2 linked regions of the Notamacropus eugenii genome follow. The protein of the gene in region 2 purifies or fractionates together with the protein of the main gene of each other region. This does not show direct contact. Links are inferred from orthologs where the notes say so. Each region holds a gene or a part of one and is shown on either strand. Other genes may lie near its edges.

Region 1 (11,043 bases), on a different chromosome or scaffold from region 2:
AAAAAAAAATGGTAAAGCAGCTATAGGCCACCCTTTTTATATTAACTAATATAAAAACAAAAAACTATATATAACTTTCCATTCTAATTATAGGCCTTGTCTCCACCTACCTCCCACCATTTTTTATTAAACTCAGCAGCAATGATGAAAATAGAAAATAGAAAGTGTTCAGAAAGGATTTGGGTTATAATGAATTTATCAAGAAAACACATTTTGGAGTTATTATGGGATTGTTAAGAAATATGAAGTACATCCCTAATTTTTGAGACTGTCAAAGGGGAAGATTCCTGTACTACTCCACAGAATATTCCTTTTGCCAATAACGAAGTTTGAACATTTGGCTGGACAAACATCAATCTAAAAACCAGCCTACTATCCAAAGCCAAACTTTAACACCTCTCCCCCCTCCTTATTTTGTTTTTTGTTTTAAATAGACAAGCAATCAGAAATCCAGAAAGCCAACAAGACTTGACCTAAGTCACACCAAGGCATATCTGGGAGCAGAATCCAGACCTGACTAAGCTCAATGCTCAGTTCTATCTTACCAAGAGTTTGCTTTAAAAAAGGTGACATTTTTAATTCTTTCCAACTTTCCCTACAGTTCAATATTTAGCCATATAGATGATGATTATTTATTAACTCAGAGCAAACATTTCTAAGTACATAAAAATATTTGACTATGAACTTTCAGGACATTGTTATGAAGAATATTTATTTATCCACAAAACTAGTGTCAGTTTAAATTAGAAAAAGCAATCTGAAAATTCAAGAAAAGTTGGGGCAGCTAGGTGGCACAATAGATACAGCACTGGCCCTGAAGTCAGAAGAATCTGAGTTCAAATTTGGCCTTAGACACTTGACACTTACTAGCTGTGCGACCCTGGGTAAGTCACTTTAACCCTTATTGCCTCACCACAAAAAAATAAAATAAAAATTCAAGAAACGTGTTTTGCAAAGTCTGACTTTTCTAATCTGGTTGCTGACAAGTTACTGGTCTTTTCCACTAAATGTTATGTCATATCCCAAATAATTTTCACCATCCACTCTTAAGATTTACAACAACTTCCTCTTTCCAAACTCCCTTCTACTTCAATTGGACCCACTATTAGACAGTAAAAGTGTGGTCATGGGTCAATTTTCTGTGCTAGGATGCAACCAATAAAAACAGTTATCATACAAAAAAGGTATCCTTGCAGGGCTTCTGCTCAAGCTTTTAACTTCATTAAAAAGCCAATATATAGGTAGATACATTTCACACCACATTTATTAACTTTAGTCACAAAAATGTGAAACTCACTTTAGAAATTCCAAAGCACACTTTAAAAATATTGGCTCTTCCTCCTTTTCATCTTTGCCCAACAATGTTTCACTTGCCTTGCATACGTCCTCGCCTTTCCTTTCCACTTATCAGAGTCCTACCATTCCATCAAGAAGGGCAGTTCAAGTGGCTCCTCCTACATGAGCTTTCTCCAGACCATGGTGATCTCTTCCTTCCTATGCAGTGCTCATAAAGCAGTTATAAATTATAGTGTAAGACAGTATGTTTACCTCTAGTTTCTAATTAAAATTGCAAAATCCCTAAACGCAGAGTCTACGGCTTACTTCTGTTCATAACTCAAGCACCTTATAAACAGTGATCAAATTTGGACTAGCAATTCTATGATAGTTACCTTTGAAAGCTTTCCTAAACAACCTATTGAAACTTTGATTTTAAATAATAATCATAATAAACAACAATAATCTTACAGTTTTCAAAGTACTTCACCATATATTACCTCATTTAACCCTCAAAGCAAACCTGTGGTATGGATTAGGCAGCTATTAATACTCCCTTTTTACAATGAGGAAATAAATTTTAAAAATTAAGTAACTTGCCCTGGTCTATTTAATATCTGATTATGATGTTAACAGTAGTTTTCTCTTAACTACTTTTACATAAACTGAATCTTGCGTAAGGAGCGCCCTAAGCAGCAAGGCAACCAACTTCTAAAGCAATGGCTAATCAGTGTTTCTGACTGTGGCCAAGAAACTGCTAAGGAGTAGTTAAGGACACTAGTCAACTCTGCAATTTTGTTTTCTTGGGGCCCCTTTTCCTAGAACTTTGTAAGGAAAGGTGAAACTGCAAGACTGCAAATCAACTAGCTACATCTTAAAATATGCAGAATTCGAATCAAATATGATGCCTTCTCTGCAATTTAATACAAACCAAAGGAAACATTTCAGTACCAAACCACAGTGTTACAAAACCTGCAGTCAGAATGCATTTTGCAAGAGCCATGTGACACACACATGACTGTCAGCTAAGCTGATGGGTTGACCAGAGGGGAAGGGGATAGGAGTACAGGGAATTTAGCAGTAGAACTTCAAATTTTAAGAAAACACTCTAACATTAATCTTTCCTTCTGACATACCGGTTTATTTTAAAAGCATCCATTTCAATCACATCGTTACTATTTGAGTAATTTTACATGTATTGAGGGGAGGAAATTGGGGGGTTTGGGGAAGAACGACAGAATTTTCCCAAGAAAAGTGAATTCCAGTTACTAGGAAAGGTGCCAAGTATGTCACATCTGCTGTCGCTGCTTCTCAATTAAGCAAGAAAAAGAAATGCATTAACTTTTCATGACACGTCATGAAACCTCATTCCTTATCTGCAATCATTCAGGTAAGGTAATCCAAAACTTGCAGATCCACCAGTTTCTCTCTCTACTATAACTGTAAGGATGAGGACAGGGACAAGACCTGTGATTTCAGCAGCACCCGGAACTCTTAAGGGAAGAAACTCCCTCTCCCCACACAGGCTAGCACCTCCTGGGCAACTCTAAGGGGCTCGGAGAGCGGCGTGCCCGGGGGCCCAAGGGTCAGCGCGGAGGCCGGCTCTCCATCACCCTCAGGGTGACAGGCTGCCACACTCGGCTCGTCTGACACGGTGACGACGGGGAGGTGCGCTTGTGCCTGAGGTTTTCCTTGGGTCCTACAGAGAAGTGTTTCAGAGGCGATGGAGTCCTTCCGGCCCGAGTGACCAGGTCCTCAGGAGGGTTTTGGCTCCTCCAGAACACAGGCTCGGAGAAGTAGGGGCATTTTAAGAGCCCCTCTCCTCTCCCCACGGTCCCTGAGGAGCGTCCATGTTCACCTGCCGCCTGGCGGGGCCCCAAGGAAGGAAGGCAAAACAAGCTCCGGAGAAGCGGAGCCGTTCCCCTCTCCTGCGGGGGGCTGACAGCACCCCACCCCGGCCCCCCCGAAGTACCCACCCGCTTCGCGGAAGTCACCTCTCTCAGAGAAAAGAAGCCCTCAGCGGGCCCTCCGAGGCAGCCTCTCACAACCCCCCTTTCCTTCCCGGGCCTGCTTCGGGGAGCCTCCATTTCACCGGACCCCGCCCCCCCCTCGGGTCTTGCGGCTCCCTCTCAGCCGCACCCCCTCCGCCGTCAGACAATGGGGCCCGCCAGGTCCGGCTCGGCCCGGCTCGGAGCGGCGGGCCTCGCTCGGCTGCGCGCCGGTGGCCTACGGCTCGGCTCGGCCCGGCTCCGCATCGCCTGGCCCGGGCCCTGCGCTCCTCCTCTTCTTGCCCGGTGCCCGCCCCTCACCGCCCGGCCCAGCCTCGGCCTCGGTCCCGCTCCCGGCCCCTCACTCACTATTCGGGATTCATGCTGGACATGTCACTGCAGCTGCCGCCGCCGCCGCCGCCACCTCCGCCCTTGGTACTGCTGCTACTACCGCCGCTGCCGCCTTGATTCTCCGCGCCCGGAACCGACGAAAAGGAATGAGAAAGTCCGTTCCGGGAGAGCAAACGTCTACCCCCCTCCGCACCCAGTGAACACAATCAGCTGCCACTGCCGCCGCCGCTTCTGCCGCTCGACTCTCGCTTCCACCCAAAATGGCCGCCGCCGAACCAGGAAATAGGGAAGCCTCAGACCGAAGGGCCTTTACACAGCCCAGAGGGCGGCCGCACCGCACTGCATGCCGGGCAAGATAGTCCAGGCGCGCGCCTGGGGGCCCCGCAGCCAGATGGTTTGGCAAGACGGCTGGGACTCGCTTTCCCGACGAGCCCGGCTCCTTTGGCGCATGCGCATTGAGGGAGCTGTTGACCACCCCACTTTACCCCACTTCCCCCCCCTTTCCTCTCCCTTCCCGACCGTCTCTCGGGAGAAGGCTCCGCTCTGACTCCCCCTAGCGGATTGGCTAAAACTGAGCGGCCTCGGTGATGTCATCAGTGAAACGTGGCAGCTGGGCGAGTCAGCGACCTAAAGGAGAGGGGGAGGTGTCAAGGGAGGGGCTGAACTGCGGGAGAGGGGTGGGGCGAGAAGCGAGGGGCGGGGAAGAGGAAGGGAGAAAGGAGCCGGGAGGAAGGAAGAAAAGGGAAGGGTCCAGCTGGAGAGGAAACCCAAGGGGGAGAAAGCTTTAGAACGGCCGCTGAGTGGGAAGCCGCCCTGAGCCGGCTCGCTCTAGGGCCTTAATAGACGATCCCTAGGAAAAGACTTTGAAAGGGGCTGGGAGCAAAGGCGATGCCCCGGTGGCTCTGCGGCGCCGCGGGGAACTCTGGAATTGTGTTCGGGTCGGACCGCAGCGGTCCTGACTCCTCCCTCCCCCGCCCCCACCTCGGAGCAGACACGGTCTCCGAAGTCTCCTCTCCAGTCCGCCGGCCTCTCCCTGGTCTAGGTGGTCCGGTCGGGGCCTCTGATACGCTATGAGCTGGCTGACCTTGGGCCAGTCTCAAGCCTCAGTTTCCTTATCTGTAAAATGGGGACTATTTGCCCATCTGGGTTGATGGGAGGTAGCTCTTTGTACACCTTAAGAACCTAGGAGTTATGGCCTTTAATGATCAAGACCAATATTTTAAAAAAATTGTATATAACATATTTTTTCAATTAGCAATAATCTGCCTTCTCACCCTTCTACTCCAACCCTCTCCCCCCCCACGCACACTTGTGAACTAAAGAACAAATCCTGTTACATATAGCCAATAAAAACAATTCCCACACTGACCGTGTCCTTTAATAAAATTGTCTCGTTTTACACTCTGAATCCTTTTTTTTTCCTTCTGAAACCTCTATCAGGATGTGGATAGCATGTTTCATCATTAGTCCTCTGGAACTGTGGTTAGTTATTAGCTGATAAGAGTTCCCGGTTCTTTCTCCACCTTCATTTAACAACACATGAGGGAAGTTGCTTATATCATGCTATAAATTGTTCTGTTTCGGTTCACTTGGCATCAGTTCATACAAGTCTTCCCAGGGTTCTCTGAAACCATCCCCTTCAACGCTTCTTACAACACAATGGTATTCCAAAACATCATAATTTGTTCATCCATTCCCCAATTTATGGGTGCCCCCTCTGATTCCCATTCTTTGCCACCTCAAGAGAACTTTAAATATTTTTGTACAAATTTAGAATTTGTTTTGCTTAAAACTAACCCCTCCCTTAATCTACCCTTCTTCCAATTTTCCCTCTCTACTTCTCCCCTTTCGCTCCTATGTTGAATAAACTATATTTCTGTAAGCAGATGTATGTGTGTGTATGTTCTTCCCCATTCAGATGAGAGTGAAATTGAAGTGTGAGATGTTCTCTCCTCCTCTCTTCTTTGTTTCTGTAGATATCTATTTGTACACCCTAATTATGTCAGATAATTTTCCCTAATCTTCCTTCCCCTCCTCTATTCTCTTACCTTCTCTTTCCATTTTTCTCTTAAGGTCAAGAGGTAACAGAACTGCTCCTAGACTTTGTAGAGTTAGACTCCCTTTATGAACCCTGATGATAATAAGGTTCAGAGGGTATACATATATCACCTGTCTATAATAGAATGTAAGCAGTTAAGTCTTTGTTTAGGCAATTATCATTGTTTGTTCATATTGACCTTTTTATGTTTCTCTTACCTCCTGCATTTGAACTTCAAAGTTTCTATACTGACCTTTTCATTAGGAATGCTTAGAAATCCTTTATTTCATTACAGATCCATTGCCCCCCTTGTTGCATTATATGCATTTTGCTGGGCAAGTTATTCTTAGCCTCTAATTCTTTTCCTTCTGGGTGCTAAATCCTGTGTGATCCTAACTGTTTGGTATTTTAAATCTTGCTTTCCGGCTGCTTGTTGGATTTTTTTCTTCAATCTGGAAACTTCGGGGTTTGCTGTGATGTAGCTGGGAAATTTCATTTGGGAGCTTATTTCAGAAGGGAACTGGTGGATTATTCTTATATCTACTTTCTACAAGATGTGGTCACTTACCTTTTTTTTCACTCATGGTGTTCAGATAGTCTAATCTTCAATTTTTTCTACTCTTTTGTAGGTCAATTGTTTTCATTTTGAGCTACTTTATATTTTCTTCTATTTTTCAACCTTTTGATTTTGTTTTATCATCTCATTGTTTCATGGAGTTATTGGTTTCTTTTTAGTCCATTTTATTTTTCAGGGAGTTTGTTGCTCAGACAAGGTTTTATACTTCTTGTCCCACACTGTTAATTCCCTTTTCCAATCCTTTCAGAAATTTAATTTCTTTTCCATTTTTTTCTTCAAGCTTTTACTCCATTAATAAAAGCATCTCTCTCTGTCTCTCAGTCTGTCTCCCCCTCCCCCCCAGCAACACTACCCTTGTGTGTAGGACTGTGACCTAAAAAAGTGTAGTAGGCAACACAGATTTCAGTGGGCACCCGTTCCCATTACACTCCCCTAGTATGGATCTGGAGGTGCCTAGTTTAGGTCTGGGATCCCCTCTTGCCCTGAGACACAGTCTCTCCTTGGATGCTCTTTTCCTAACTTTATCACTCTCTATAGGAATCCTTTGTTTCAGTAAGATTGATATCCTTGTTCCTTCCCTGAGTATGCATTACCCACTCCAGGCAACTGGTCTTCGCTCACTAATTCTCTTGGCTAGGCCTTTCTCTAATTTCTATTCCCTTTTCTACCTCCACCTTGAAGACTTCTTTAACTACTCCAGCTAACTTCTGTATTCTCTAACCATTTAAAGAAAGCACCACTTATATGTACCAGCCACTAGGTACTTTATAATATAGGATGTCCCAAAAGTCTTAGTGTACTTTAAAGCTTTACTAATTCTCTTGAGCCTGTCAAGTAAGCAAGGAATTGCCTGCTATGGAAGGGTGGGAGGAAACAACCATTTGTTAGGCACATATTACATGCCAGGTACCCTGTTAAGTGTGCTTTACAAATATTATCTAATTTGATCCTCACAACAACCCTGAGAGGTAGGTATTATTAAATCATTTTATAGCTGACAGAGGTTGTCTATCTAAAGTAGACAGGTTAATTGAGTTGCTCAGATTCACCCAGGCAGTAACTAACTGAGGTCAATTTTGAATTCATGTCTTCCTGACTCCAAGGCCAATGCTATTACCTAGCTGCCTAGTCCCAGGCTTCTTGGGTCCTCCACTCCGTCCTCCTCCCTCCTAGTATGCTCCGTGACCTCCTGTAACTCCACCTCTACTAGGCCCCTCACCTGAGCCTGTAACCACTTACATACCTCCCTCTGTCAATGATTAACAAATTCCTATCCAGTCATACTCTCCCCATCACCATGACTCTGAACCATTGAAATCCACGTTCTGATTTGTTCAAATCCATTCTGATGATCTGGGTGGCACAGTGAATAGAGAGCAGGGCTTGGAGTCAGGAAGACCTGAATTCAAATGTGTCCTCAGACACTTGTGTGTTTGTCCTTCGCTGTCAAAGAAGACCAGGCCATCAGAGAACTAATGATGCGACTTGCACTTGACTTTGCCCTAGGCAAGTCACTTAACCCTGTCTGCCCCAGTTTTCTCATCTATAAAATGGATATATTCATAGCACCCATCTCCTAAGGTCATTGTGAGGATCAAATGAGATGAGATTTGTAAAGTGCTTAACACAGTGCCTGACACATGGAACTCTATAAATGTTAACTTCTATTACTACTATTATCATTATTTCCATCTTCTGCAATCCAACTGTCCCCATCCCTCAATGTACCACTCGAAACCTACCTCCCTCCTTCCACTGTGTTCTTTGGAATATCCACTCCAGAAGTAACAACTTGCTTTCATTTTAAACCCTTTCCTTTCTCACTCCTTTGGTCTACAGAAACTTACTGAGATCTGACTCCCTCCTAATAACACAGCTTCTCTGGCCCCCCTTTTCCACACTAACTGCCCTTTCATTTATACCCCAACTAATCATGGTAGGGGAATTAGAATACTCATTGCTCCCTATTGTCACTTCTAGGCTCTCCATTGATCATTAAGTAAACGTCTCCTTTGAGGTTCACTGAATCTATATTTGCTACCAATCAAGAGTCTGGCAGCTGTTATTTACCAACTTCAAGGACACCCTCCTCTCTTAAATGACTTCAGTGCCTGGATCACAGTCTCTTTCTCTGTCTCTCTCCCTCTCCTGCCCCGCTTCCCCAATTCCTACCCTCACACTAGGGGAATTCAACATACACTCTGATATTGCCCAAAACACCCTAACCTTCCAGTTCCTCAAATTTGCACATTTCCTATGCCTGCTTCTCCATCTGACCTCAAGTACACACAGACGTGGTCATACCCTTGATTAAGCCATCTCCCACATGTATGTTCATGAACTTCCATGTTTAGGAATTCTGAAATTCCTTTATCGGATCACAGCCTGTTGTCATTTCATCTCTTCCCCTGCCTTGCAATCCCAAACACTATTCTTTGTCCTCATTGCAACCTCGAATCCTTCTACCCCTCAGCCTCTTTCCATGGCTATCACCCCTTATACTCACTATACTCTCCTACTTTCCCCATCTTGACCCCCTGGGAAACCAATTCAAGTCCTCACAGTCATCTTTCTCTTATTCTATTGAAGATCTTGACCTTCCAGGCCTTAGCTCTGGATACTCCCACCATCCAACACCTTTTCTCCTCCTCTTGTGCTGCTAAACTAAGCTGAAGGAAATCATGAAACCCTGCTGACTGGGTTCACTACAAATTTATATGTAAAATCTCAGGTGGGCCTTTTTTTGCCTCAGCAAGGCAATACTTTTACACCTCCTTGATTGACTTGCTATCCCACTCAAGACAGACACTTTTCCAAACCTTTTCTGCCCTCCTGGAGCCTCTCATAGCTCCCCCTGCCCCCAGCCATCTCAGGTAAGGACCTCACCCTAAGGACTGAAAACATTAGGTTCATTCACTGAGAGCTCCCTCTTATCTCTTCCTCCTCCTCTCACATGACTCTGATGCCTTCCCCACCATCTCCTCCTTCAACCTGTCTTCCAAGAAGAGGCCCTCCCCCTTTCCCTTCTCCCTCTCCCTACACAAGGGATCCTGTTCCTTTCTTCTCCAGCAAATTGTTCCCTCTATCATCCTTACTCTCTTATTAATTACTTCCATCTCTCCTGGTCTACCAGCTATCTCTCTGCTGTCGATATACACAGCCATTTCTCCCCATCCTTAAAAAACCCCTCACTCATCCCCAATATCTCTCCTTGATTTCATGGCAAAACTTCTAGAGGTCATCTGTTATCAGGATTTCTATTTCCTTTTTCAGTCTTCTTAACTCTCTGGAGCAGGGGTGGGGAACTTGCCGCCTGCTAACATCTGGCTTCTGACCTGATCATTCCACTGAAACTGCTCTTTCCAGACTTACCAATGTTCTTATAATTGCTGACCCTAATGACCTTGTCTCAGTCCTCATCTTCTGGGACATCTCTGCGTGCACAGCCTTTAATACTCTCAATCACTCTCTTCTCCTTGATACACTCTCTCTCCCTCTCTTTCTCTCTCTCTCTGTCTCTCTCTGTCTCTCTGTCTCTCTCTGTCTCTCTCTCTGTCTCTCTCTCTCTCTCTCTCTCTCTCTTTCTCTGTTTTGTTAGTAACAACAATAGCTAACACTTATGTAGCACTTACCATGTTCTAGGTACTGTGCTAAGCACTTTGCAGTTACTATCTCATTCATTCCTCACAACAACCCTTCAAGGTAGGTGCTATTATTTTACATTTTACAAATGATGAAGCTGAGGCAAATACCCACTGAGTAACTTGCAAGGACCGCACATCTAGTAAATATCTGAGGCTGGATTTGAATTCAGGCTTTCCTGACTCCACATCTGGTACTCTATCCACCTAACTGCCCTAATAGGTTGTTACACTACTGTCTCCTGTTTCTCCTACCTTTCTGTCTGACTGCTCCTCAATTCTTTTGCTGGATCTTCATCCAAGTCGTTCCTGCTAATCATCAAGACTGTGTCCTGGACCCTATTGTCTTCTATACTATTTTATTTAGTGACTTCATCAACTCTCATGGATCAAATCGTCTCTATGCTGATGACTGTCAAATCTACTTATCCAGCCCTAACCCCTCTGAGAACCCCCAGATCTGCATTCACAATTGCCTACTTGACACCTCAAAATAGATGTCCTGTAGGTATCTTAAGAATCCACATATCTAAAACTTGGTGTCTTTCTATAGATAATCCTTCCTAACTTCGCTATTACTTTTCAGGGTACCTCCATCCTCCCAGTTACCTCGGCGTACAATGTACCTGTTATCCTTGACTTCTCTCTTTCTGGAGCACTGACCTCATCTTCAATTCGTTGCCAAGTGCTTATTGAGTCCATCTTCACAACTCTTGTATACGTCTCCTTCTCCTCTGACACTACCACTACTTTGGCACAGACCCATACCACCTCGTTTCAAAAGCCTTTTCGTTTTTCTGACTCCCTCACTCACTCTCTCCCAACTCCAGTTTATCCTCCATTCAGTTATCAGTGACCTTCCTAAAGCACAGTTCTGACCATGTTGCCTCATCCCTGCCATTTTCAATCAATTCCAGTGACTTCCTCTTGCTTCCAAGATCAAGTGTAAAATCTTCTGTTTGACTTTCAAAATCCTTCATAACCTGACACCTTTCTACCTTTGTAGTCACATTTTATGGTCTTTAATCCCCTGCACATACTCTGTGATCCAGTGTCATCGGCCTCCTTGCTGTTTCTCCCATGAGACACTCCATCTCCCATCTCTGGTTGTTTTCGCTGGTTGCCCCCCATAACTGAAAATTTCTCCCTCTTCATTCCTGACTCCTGACTTTT
Region 2 (10,222 bases):
TCACATAAAAATTTCTCAGGTCATGAGTGGAAAACATTTAAGAAGCCCTTTTCTAGAGTAATGGTGTTAAGCTCAAATAGAAACAGGGGTCACTAAACCTGTGGGCTGAAAATCAACTCAGTTTTAAACTGCAATATTATATATGTTTTATTGTATTTTTATATATTTTTGTTAAATATTTCTCAATTACATTTTAATCTGGTTTGGACCCCACTTGGGAGTGTTCTGGACTGCATGAAGCCTGTGGACTGCATGTTTGACACCTCTGTTCTAGAGGTCCTTCTACCATTTGAATGCTTTTTGTGCTTTTAATGAAAAAATAGGAGTAGTACTAAGAGGAGGAAGAGGAAGAAAAAAGAAAGAAAAAGAAAAATTTTTTAAAGTCAAAACAAAACACACAGAACAATAACAAAAGAAATTAATGCCTCTCCCTCCCCCCATCACCCCTCCCCCCCACAAAAGTTACCATAGAGAAAAAGAAAAAAAAATGCAAGAAATCTTTGACTTTCCCTATTCACTTCAGAAGGACCAAATCTCAGATCTCAAAGATCTGGGTAATTCCAAACATTTGCAGTTCACTGTGAGTCACATGTTGCAGCTGATGACTAGAAACAATACCATTAGGAACATGGGACAGATGATGAAACTTCCAATACAGTCACACACAGACTCTTCTCCCATTGTAATGATGTGTGAGAATGATAAGAACATCAGGGACACAGCACTGATGATGACGCTTCTGGCATAGCTAATAATTCTTCATCACATGTCAGTTATCCATAGAAAGTGATTAAGAGATAATAAACTTCTCTCATAAAACCTGTCCAGGACTAGCTTGATACCCAGACTTTCCCCCATAGCACCGCCCACCTAACTCAATATTCCCTGGCACACATGCTAAAAACTCCCCCTTCCTGGGAACCACATTAAGATCCGTCAGTCAGTTAATTAGTCAATAAACATTTATTAAGTGTCTGCTGGGTGCCAGGTACTGTGGTAAGAACTGGGAATACAAAAAGAAGCAAAAGGACAGTTCTTTCCCTCAAGGAACTCAAAATCTATATACAAGTAAGCTATATAAATAGGATAAATAGGCATTACAGAAAGCATTGGAATTTAGAAGGGGTGGGAAAGACTTCTTTTAGAAGGTAGGATTCTAGTTAAGATTTGAAGAAAGCCAGGGGAATTTGAAAATTCCAGGAGGTGAACATGAGGAGGGGAAGCATTCCAGGCATGGGGAACAGTCAGAGAAAATGGCCAGAGATAAGAAATTAGGGAGGGGGGGATGCGGAGAAGGAGAGCTATGCTAGGTTATGAATGGCTTTGAATACCAGAGAATTTCATATTTTATCCTAGGAAGCCACTAGAATTTGAGTTGAGGAGTGACATGGTTGATTGAACCTGTGCTTTAGGAAAACCACTTTGGTGACTGGAGGATGAAATGAAGTGAGAAGAGACTTGAGGCAGGTAAATCTACCACAAAGTTATTGCAATAATCCAGGTGTGAAGTGATGAGGGCCTGCACTGGAAAAGGGGGCATATATTTGAGAGATGCTGCAAATGTGAAATTGACTGGCCGTGGCAACCAATTGGATTTAGAGGGTGAGAAGTAGTGAGGACTCAAGAATGATACCTAGGTTGTAAGCCTAGGGGATTGGGAAAATGGTGTTATCTTCTATAGTAATAGGGAAGTTAAGAAAAGGGAAGGGTTTGGGAGAAAGATAATGGGTTTAGTTTTGGACATGTTTAGCTTAAGACGTCTACTAGGTATCTAGTATGAGATGTCTGAAAGACAGGAGATAGAATGGAGATCACCAGAGAGGTTAAGGCTAGATAAATAGATTTGAGAATTATTAGCATAAAGATAATTAAATTCATGGGATCTGATGAGATCACCAACTGAAATACTACAACAGTATAAGAGAGCCCAGGATGGAGCCCCATAGTACAGTGGGACACATACTGCTCGAGGACGTGATCTGGATGAAGATCCAGCAAATGAAATTTTCCTCTTCCTCTTTCCTCAGTAGAGAGGCACAGCAGGAGATGGAAGACCTGAGGTCAGGGGGAAGCGTTCTCTTCTTCACATATGAAGGGAGGTGGGTGAACAGGCTAACAGGTGGAGCAGAAGGTAGAAGTTACCTTGTGCTGGTGCAAATGGAAGTCTCCTCCAGATAGCCCCTAGGAATCTAAGCCTGGAAATCAGGCCTGGCCAGCATTAGATGGAAGATGTGGTCAGAGGGAGGTCATTCCTCTTCTCACCTGCGGCTGGAGATCAGGTGTGAAAAGCATGAGGTAGAAGATAGTCAATACACATTTATTAAGTACCTACCAGTGCCAGGCACTGTACTAAGTGCTGGGGATGCAAACATCCTTTTTGTAGATGATAAAAAATTCCTTTCCTCCAAGTAAATATACATTCACTATTGTAGGTGCAGCTAGTGGACCTGCTGGTGGTGCAGGTCCAGTGTTGGGATGAAATGAGGCATCCTAAGTCACTGAACATTTAACAAAGAATTAACAGAGCAAGAACATGCAACAAGGAAGAAATGACACAGCTTCTTGCACTTTCCTTTTGTCTTCATCTGGAAATGAGTCTGTTCAGTATACCATCTGTCCAGGGTTTAGTGACTTGCAAGATCTTAGGCACTCACCAAGTCTAAGAGTCTCAGACTTCAAATGGGTGGGACTTTTTATGCCCCAAATGATCCAGAAGTCATGTCAGGGAAACTGAGGCAAAACTGTTATAAGGGACAACTTTGTCCTGTCAGATATATAGCAAGGCACCTTTCAGCAATACCACCTACTTTTCCCCTTAGGTGTTGTCAAAAGCACCCCAGAGGAAAGAATATCTACCAGTCGGGAGGGAAGTTGTTGTTCAGTTGTTTGAATTGTCTCCAACTCTGTGACCCCATTTAGGTTTTCTCGGCAAAGATAATGGTTTGTCATTTCCTTTTCCAGCTCATTTTATAAATAAGGAAACTGAGGCAAACATGTGACTTGCCCAACGTCACACAGTATCTGAGGCCAAATTTGAACTCAGGGAGATGAGTCTTCCTGACTCCAGGTCTGGCACTCTATCCACTGTACCACCTAGCTGTCCTGTTGAGAGGGACCTAAGCTATTTCTCCAGGACATTCAGAGCCCTCTGACAGGGCAAGGACCACAAGACTCATGCCACTTTGTGCTGGGCAAGAAAGCAGAAGGACAGCTAGAACTATGTCCAAAAGCAGTCCATTCTTATCAGGTAAATCTCTGGAGACTAGATGCAGGAAACCACTGGAATAGAGGGATCTTCCCCTTCCTAGAATGGTATTAATTCATCACGAGCATGATTTCTGGGTGGTCAGACATCTGACCTGGGCAGTCAAGTGCATGATAATGGAGATACTGGTTGGCAGGAACAAACTCCTTGCCCTAAGATTGTCTATGAGGGATAATGATTTCAGGTGGGTATAGGCTGAAGACCACTTAGGTGAGGTAGTTATTCCAAAACACAGAAGTTCCCCTGGGCAGTAACATCAGCCAGAGAGTAAGGAGTCAAGAATTCAAGCTTGAATAACTGGGAGGATAGTGGTATCTTTGACAGTAACGGGGAAATTAAGAGAATTTTGCGGGGACAGATGGAGTTCATTTTTGGACATGTTGAGTTTAAAATGTCTAAGAAACCCACAGAATTTGAGATATCCAAAGGGCAATTGGAGATATAAGACAGGAGGTCAGGAGAGACATCAGGGCTGGATAAATATCTCTGAGAATTATCTGTAGAGAGATGATATGGGAACTGATGAGATCACCAAGAGAAGCAGTTTAGAGGAAATCTTCTTGGCCCCAAAACAGAGGTTTTGAGAGAGATATTCATAGTTAGTGGGCATGACCTGAGTGAAGATGCAGCAAAGGAAATTGAGTAGGAGCTATGACATAGGAAAGAAGAGATCCAGGAAAGAACACTATAAGGAAAACCTAGAAAGAAGAGAGTATTAAGATGAAGTGGGTCATCAATAGTCTCAGAAGCTGCAGAGGCAAGAAGGTTTGAGAAAAGGTCGTTAAACCTGGAAATTAAGAGATTAGTGGTACTCTTGGAGACAGCAGTGTCAGTTCAAAAACTGATTCTGGTAAAAAACCGGATTGCAGAATTAAAAAGAAATTCAAAGGAAAAGAATTAAAGGACTGATTATAAATGGCTTCTTCAAGGAGTTTAGTCACAAAAAGGAGAAGAAATATAGGATGTTGGCTAACTGGTATGGTTAGCTCAAATGAGGGTTTTTTGAGGATGAGGAAGATATGGGCAAGCAGCTGGAAAACTGCCAGTAGACAGGGAGAGACTGAAAATAACTGGACGGGTAGGGTTAGGGTGGGGCACCATGTTGGAGATGGAACTGGATTGCTTATGCAGGTAAAGGCATTTGCCTTGGTAAGTCTTCCGGTGGGACAGGTCGGAAGGGGAGTTTGTGGCAGAAAGCATCTGAGTGATATGAAGAAGACAGAAGAGAGACGCTCACAGTAAATGGCCTCAACTTTTTCTTCAAAATATGAAGCTAGGTTTTCAGTTGAGAGTCTAGGGGAAGATGGGAAGTTTGAGACGGGAAGAAAACGTCTGGAAAAGCTATAATGGTGAGTGGGATAGTGAAACCAATAGGAAAATGTAAAAAAAATTGATTGCATTGCCATAGTGAGGACCCAGTTGAGAGTAAAACACAAAAATTTGTCATGGACCAGTCGGCAACCAAATTATCCAAGGTAAGTTTTCAGAAAGTCACTCTTCTGATTCCATTAGTTCCATCAGCTTCTTCCAACATCACTTTATAGCTTCGTAGGTCTGTAAATTGAGAATTTCTCTGCCTATGCAGATACTTCTTGCAAGAGGGAAAGTCTGCCATGAAAACCAAATTAAAAAAAAAAAAACCCCAAAGGCAAGTAGAGGATGTTAAATTTCTTTTAAACTGCAGAGTTGCCTACTCTACTACAACTGCTTATTTTTATAGAAAATCATTCTAGATTATATCAATTTAAACTGAAGAGCCTGTTTTTATATGAGACCCGCTGCCTTTTTTACAAAAGATTTAAAAAATTTTTCCTTTGAAATGCACATTTGCTGTTTCTCCTACTCTTCCTGGGACAGGCAGAGTAAGGGACTTTGCACTTTGAAGCAGGGAGGGAGTCACATAACAGAACCGAGGATCCTGGGCTGCAGTCTGCTGCCCAATCTGTCCACTTCACCGGCTCCTCCAGCGCCCTATTGCCTTCCATCACGCTGCACTGGCAGCTATCCTCCGAGTCAAACCTTTCATTTAAAAAAAAGGAGAACGAAGCAATCCTCCCAAGGTCACAGTTGCCAGGTTTGTCCCCATCACCCGGTGCATCCTTTCCTCCCCTCCCCCCGAGTCCAAGAGGGGACTTAGAAACAAAGGGGAGCTCAGAGTCCAAGGGCGAGCAGCCGCTGCAGGGGCCACAGCCAGACCATTGGGGCCGCTGCCAGATGCCAGCGCAGCGCTGCCCCGCCCTGTCCCTGAGGGCCCGGGCGCTAAACCAAGCGTCAGGCCCCGGCCCACTGGCGGGCCATCTCCGCCTTTTCCCACACCCACCACGCTAATCCCTCCAGCAAGCAGAGCTTGAAACGGGGAGGGCGGGAGTATGGAGAGAGGAAGAGATTCGGAAAAGGAGGAGCTCAAGCCTCGCCCGGTGCCGCCTCCCTCTCGCGTGGAGTGAAAAGGGAAGTACAGTAACGAACGAGCCCGGCTCAGCCAATGAGAGCGCGGCAAGAGAAGCGGAAGGCCCGTGATTGACAGCAACCAGGAGCCGCTCTCTCCTCCAGAGTCCGCCCCCTAGGCTGCAGCGGCCGCCCCGCCCCCTTTCCTGCTAGGCTCCTCCTGCTTACTCTTCCCGCAGCCCTCGCTCCTCTTCTCTCCTCTGTGGCAGTGGGCGGTTTCTCCTCCTCCGTGCTCCATTTTATATCTTCTTTCTGCGCTCGCCGGACGGCGCGTGGGGCTTCGCTACTCGCTGCTTTTGGCTTGTTTTTTCTCCCTTTCTAGCTCTTGACCCGCCTCCCCTTTTTTTTTTCTCTCTTCCCCTTTCATCCTCTGACTCCCGCCATGAATGAGGAGTACGACGTGATCGTGCTGGGCACCGGCCTCACGGTGAGGACGGGGAGGGGGAGGGGAGGGGAGGAGGTTGGCCCGCTGGGGGTGGGGGCAGGCCGTGACCGCCCGCAGCGGGGGAGGGGAGGAGGCTTCGCTCCCGGAGGGCGTGAGCAGCGAGGGGGGCAGGGAGGGAGAGGGGCTCCCCTGTCGGGAGCGCGCGTGGTGCGGCTCGGGCCCGCGGACCGCGGCCCCCGCCGCGCCTTCTAACGCCCGCTTCCTCCAGCTTCCTGCTTTTATTTATTTGGCCGTGTCGGCGCCGTTGGATCCGACACGCGCACACGTACCCGGAGCTACGGTTTGATTGGCGTCTCTGTCCTTCCGTATTGAAGGACCCCTGGAGGGGGCTGCTTGTCCTGTGATCGCGGAGCTCTTGGATCTGGCAGCTTTTTCCTTCAGATGATGAGCTTTTGGGAAAGGCTGCCCCGGACACTTAAGGTTTTCGGCAGTTGGGGACGAGGACGCTCAGAGGAGCATAAGTGACCGTGTCCCCACGTCCTCGTGGCAGCCTCCCCTGCCCCTTTTGTAGGAGGGTCCAGGAAATGGTTTAAATCAGTGAAGCGGAGGAAGAGGTCTGGAATTAAACGGCCTGCTTCCTGCAAAGGAGAGGAGACTCGAATAATTGTAACTAAACTGAATTCCAAGCCTCTTGTGACTTTTTCCCCCTTTGGGTTGATGACCTCTCCGGACGGGAGGCAGGGTGGAAATGGTTCCTTCAGTGACTAAAATTCACTCCCCTGCAGCAGTGAGCAGGCAAAGGGCACTGCATGATGTGAGAAGCGATGGTCAGCGAATTCTGAAAAGGTCTAATGGGGGCCAAAATGCTGCGCCGAGTTTGTGGGGTTTGGCAGAATCTAGTTGCCCCCCTTCTCACTCTGGTGTTTTGGGGATGCCTTTCTTACTGCACGTTTACAGGCGAGAAATGAGAAAGACTTGCTGTTGATTTTTTTTTTCTCGTTTTCTTCTATTTGGTCTTTTCTCTTTTCTACTAAGATGTGGGTTAATGAATAGTAAAAGGCACAGATAACCCCATGACAGCTTCTTAGGGGACTTAGAAGAAAAATCAGTATATGTCTATGTGAGTGCTTTCTTTACTCCATGAATGGCTTTGCCTAATTTAAATGGTTTGTGTGGAGGAAGGGGACAAAAATGTGCTTTTAGGTACGTCCTTTAAGGACTCCTATGTTGTCTTTTTTCCCACCAGAGTTGAATATACTTCATATTTTAGCATTCCCATTATTGCATATTTTTCTCAAAAGATTATGGCTCTTTTTAAAAACATTTTAAGTTGGATAATTAGGATCCCATGAATGCTACAATAGAAAGATATCAATAAAAGGCTTTTCTGTGACCTTGGCCTATTTTATTGAATTTCCTAATTGTTCATACTTTGGGGTAACTTAACTCAGCAAAAAAAAAAAAAATACAGAAAAAGTAAATAAATTCTCTCTGTTACATATCATTTTACAGTTTATTTTAAGCTAAATAAATATTTGTTGACTGGATGAACAAATTAGTATTCATAAGAAAAGCAGTGTTGGAGGACAGAGTGGAATTGATTTGAACCTCGCTTTTGTTTTATAATCAGTAAGCAATATTTGAATGTATTTTGGTTTTCGGGTATCCTCTAGAAGACATACTCATATACCAGTATTAATCACTTTTGATTGATGTTAAAAGGACAATTTTCAGTTTTCATTTGATTGGTTAACCATTTACAAAATAGTTACTAAAAATTAATGTATTGTTTTTCAGTCTATCACTTTAATATTTATATTGATTTTTTGTATTTGTATTCCTCTCCATCACAGTGGATCAGACAAACTAAAGTTGCAAACTGTAGCTATCATGGGGATTGAAAAAAGGGGTACCAATTATGAAATTATTTATCGGAAAAATCTTTTTAATGATTTTTGAATTTTAGAGATTGAGTTGAATCTCTGTGTGGTATATTGGGAAACGACCAGACCTTTAAAGAAAGCAAACTTGTACACAGTTGTGGTGGGTTAGATCAGGTAGCAAGTGCATAGTACTAAGTCCATCATTTTGGACTTAGTTTCTTGCACAAACCTTTATTTTGCTCTGTGGTTGTGGATTTTCAGTGTTTTTCACTTAAAAGGGTAGGCAAGAGTCAGCATGGGTTCATCAAAAAACATGCCAGACTAAAGTCATTTACTTTTAGTGTGAGGGTAATTAGATTTGGAAAATGCTTTGGATTTGGAGTCAGGAGAGATTTGGTTTTGAATCCTGACTGACATTTACAAGTTGTGTCACCATCAAGCAGTTCACTGAGTTCCAGTGTTCTCTGTAAACTGTAAAAATTATACCTGTAATTTTTACCTCACAGGGTTAATATGATCTTCAAATAGGAATATGAAAATGCCTGAGATGCATCTTTTGTATTAAGAGTCTGGAACTACAAAGATAAAAATTAAATATATTGTGCTCACTTCAAGGAGTTTACATTTTATTGTTGTTCAGTCATTTTTAGTTGTGTCTAACTTTTTGTGACCCCCATTTGGGGTTTTCTTGGCAAAGATAATGGAATGGTTTGTCATTTCCTTTTCCAGCTCATTACACAAATGAGGAAACTGAAGGAAACAGGGTTAAGTGACTTGCCCAGGGTCACACAGCCAATAAGTGTCTGAGGCCATATTTGAACTCAGGAAATGAGTTTTCTTGACTGTCAGCTATGCCTCATTTAGCTGCCCCTTACATTTTATAGGAGGAGATAATAGGTACAACACACATATATAAGGTCATGCAAAATAAATAGAAGGTAATTTAGGGAAGTGCTAGCGCAGGGGTGGCAACCTGCAGCCTGGGAGCCACATGTGGCCCTCTTAGTCCTCAAGTGTGGCCCTTTGGATCCAAGTCTAGATCCTCAACTACAGCCCTTTGACTTGAATCTGAAGTTTGGATTCTGTCAAAAGGCCATACTTGAGGGCTTCAAGGTTTCACATGTGGCTTCAAGGTTGTAGGTTCCCCACCCCTGTGCTAGATGTTAGGAGCTAGGGGAATTGGGGAAAGACATTGAAGGTGATATTTGAGCAGAGCTTTGAACAAAACTCAGAATTCTAAGAACTAGAGATGAGGAAAGTACAATCTAGGCATGGAGGAAAGCTTGTTCATGGCACCAAAATGGGGTGTCTTGTTTGAAGAATATCAAGATAATCAGGTTTAACCATAGTGTGTTTGAAGGAGAGCAATGTATTATAAGACTGGAAAAGTAGGTTGGAGTCAGGCTGTGAAAGGCTCTAGGTTGGGAGTGTTTAGTCTGAAGAAAAGATTTAGGGCTTATATGTGTTAGAAATCTTTAAATATTTAAAGATATTCATATAGATAAAAGACATTAGGCTTGTTCTGCTTAGTCCTAAACATAAAAATCCTAATGATGAAAGTTACCTAAAATTAGAATGCTTTGCTATTCTCATAGCATGGTGAAATGGAGAGAGAGCATTCTTCAAAGTCAAGAAGACCTGGCTTCTGCCTTTCACACTGAATGGCTGTGTGACCCCTGGCAAGTAACTCAGCCTCTCAGGGCTCTAGGCAGCTCTTTTAGGCTGTAAGTTCAGAGACAGTGCCAGCCTGCATTGGTAGAGGAAATTTCCTCACCTAGAAAGAAGTTAACCTTTACCAGTGAAATCACAAGTCCACTTCCCATCTCTATCTTTATATTCCTGTCATTGGAGATGTTGGAATGTTATAAAGCTGGATTTATGATTTGGGTAGGTGTTAGACTTACGCGACTTATGAGGTCCCTTGTTTGGTCATTTTTAACATTATTTTAACATTATTAATAAGTCAAATGCAGTTTCTATTGTTTTATTAGTCAACCTTTTGTAGTTGGCAGATTAAGTACTATAGAATGCCATTAATTTTGTTTCACTGTAGGTTGGAAGGAAATTTACTGTATTGCTGTTATATCATTAGAGTTCCCTTTTGTTTCCCTAGGCCTGTACAACAATTTAATCACTAAAAGGTACCTTAGACCATCACATTTCATTACTGATCATGGAAAGTAATTCTTATCACCTTTTTAAAAAATTCTGATGGTTTAGCAATGGTTCAAATAAGTTGTATCT

The links.
Region 1: the proteins of GDI2 (region 2) and RAB1A purify together in Homo sapiens (affinity purification with mass spectrometry; 6 studies listed by BioGRID and IntAct, counting the BioPlex papers as one, with this or other methods). This does not show direct contact. The link is inferred for Notamacropus eugenii from reciprocal best matches to the Homo sapiens genes GDI2 and RAB1A.

What each region holds. Positions count from the first base shown.
Region 1 is NC_092872.1:639,181,748-639,192,790, reverse strand, and holds the start of RAB1A (ras-related protein Rab-1A), read right to left. Parts: upstream 4,974-11,043; 5' UTR 3,656-4,973; coding exon 3,633-3,655; intron 1-3,632. UniProt on the Homo sapiens protein: The small GTPases Rab are key regulators of intracellular membrane trafficking, from the formation of transport vesicles to their fusion with membranes.
Region 2 is NC_092874.1:209,606,468-209,616,689, reverse strand, and holds the start of GDI2 (rab GDP dissociation inhibitor beta), read left to right. Parts: upstream 1-5,755; 5' UTR 5,756-6,092; coding exon 6,093-6,137; intron 6,138-6,311; exon of another isoform or gene 6,312-6,941; intron 6,942-10,222. UniProt on the Homo sapiens protein: GDP-dissociation inhibitor preventing the GDP to GTP exchange of most Rab proteins. By keeping these small GTPases in their inactive GDP-bound form regulates intracellular membrane trafficking.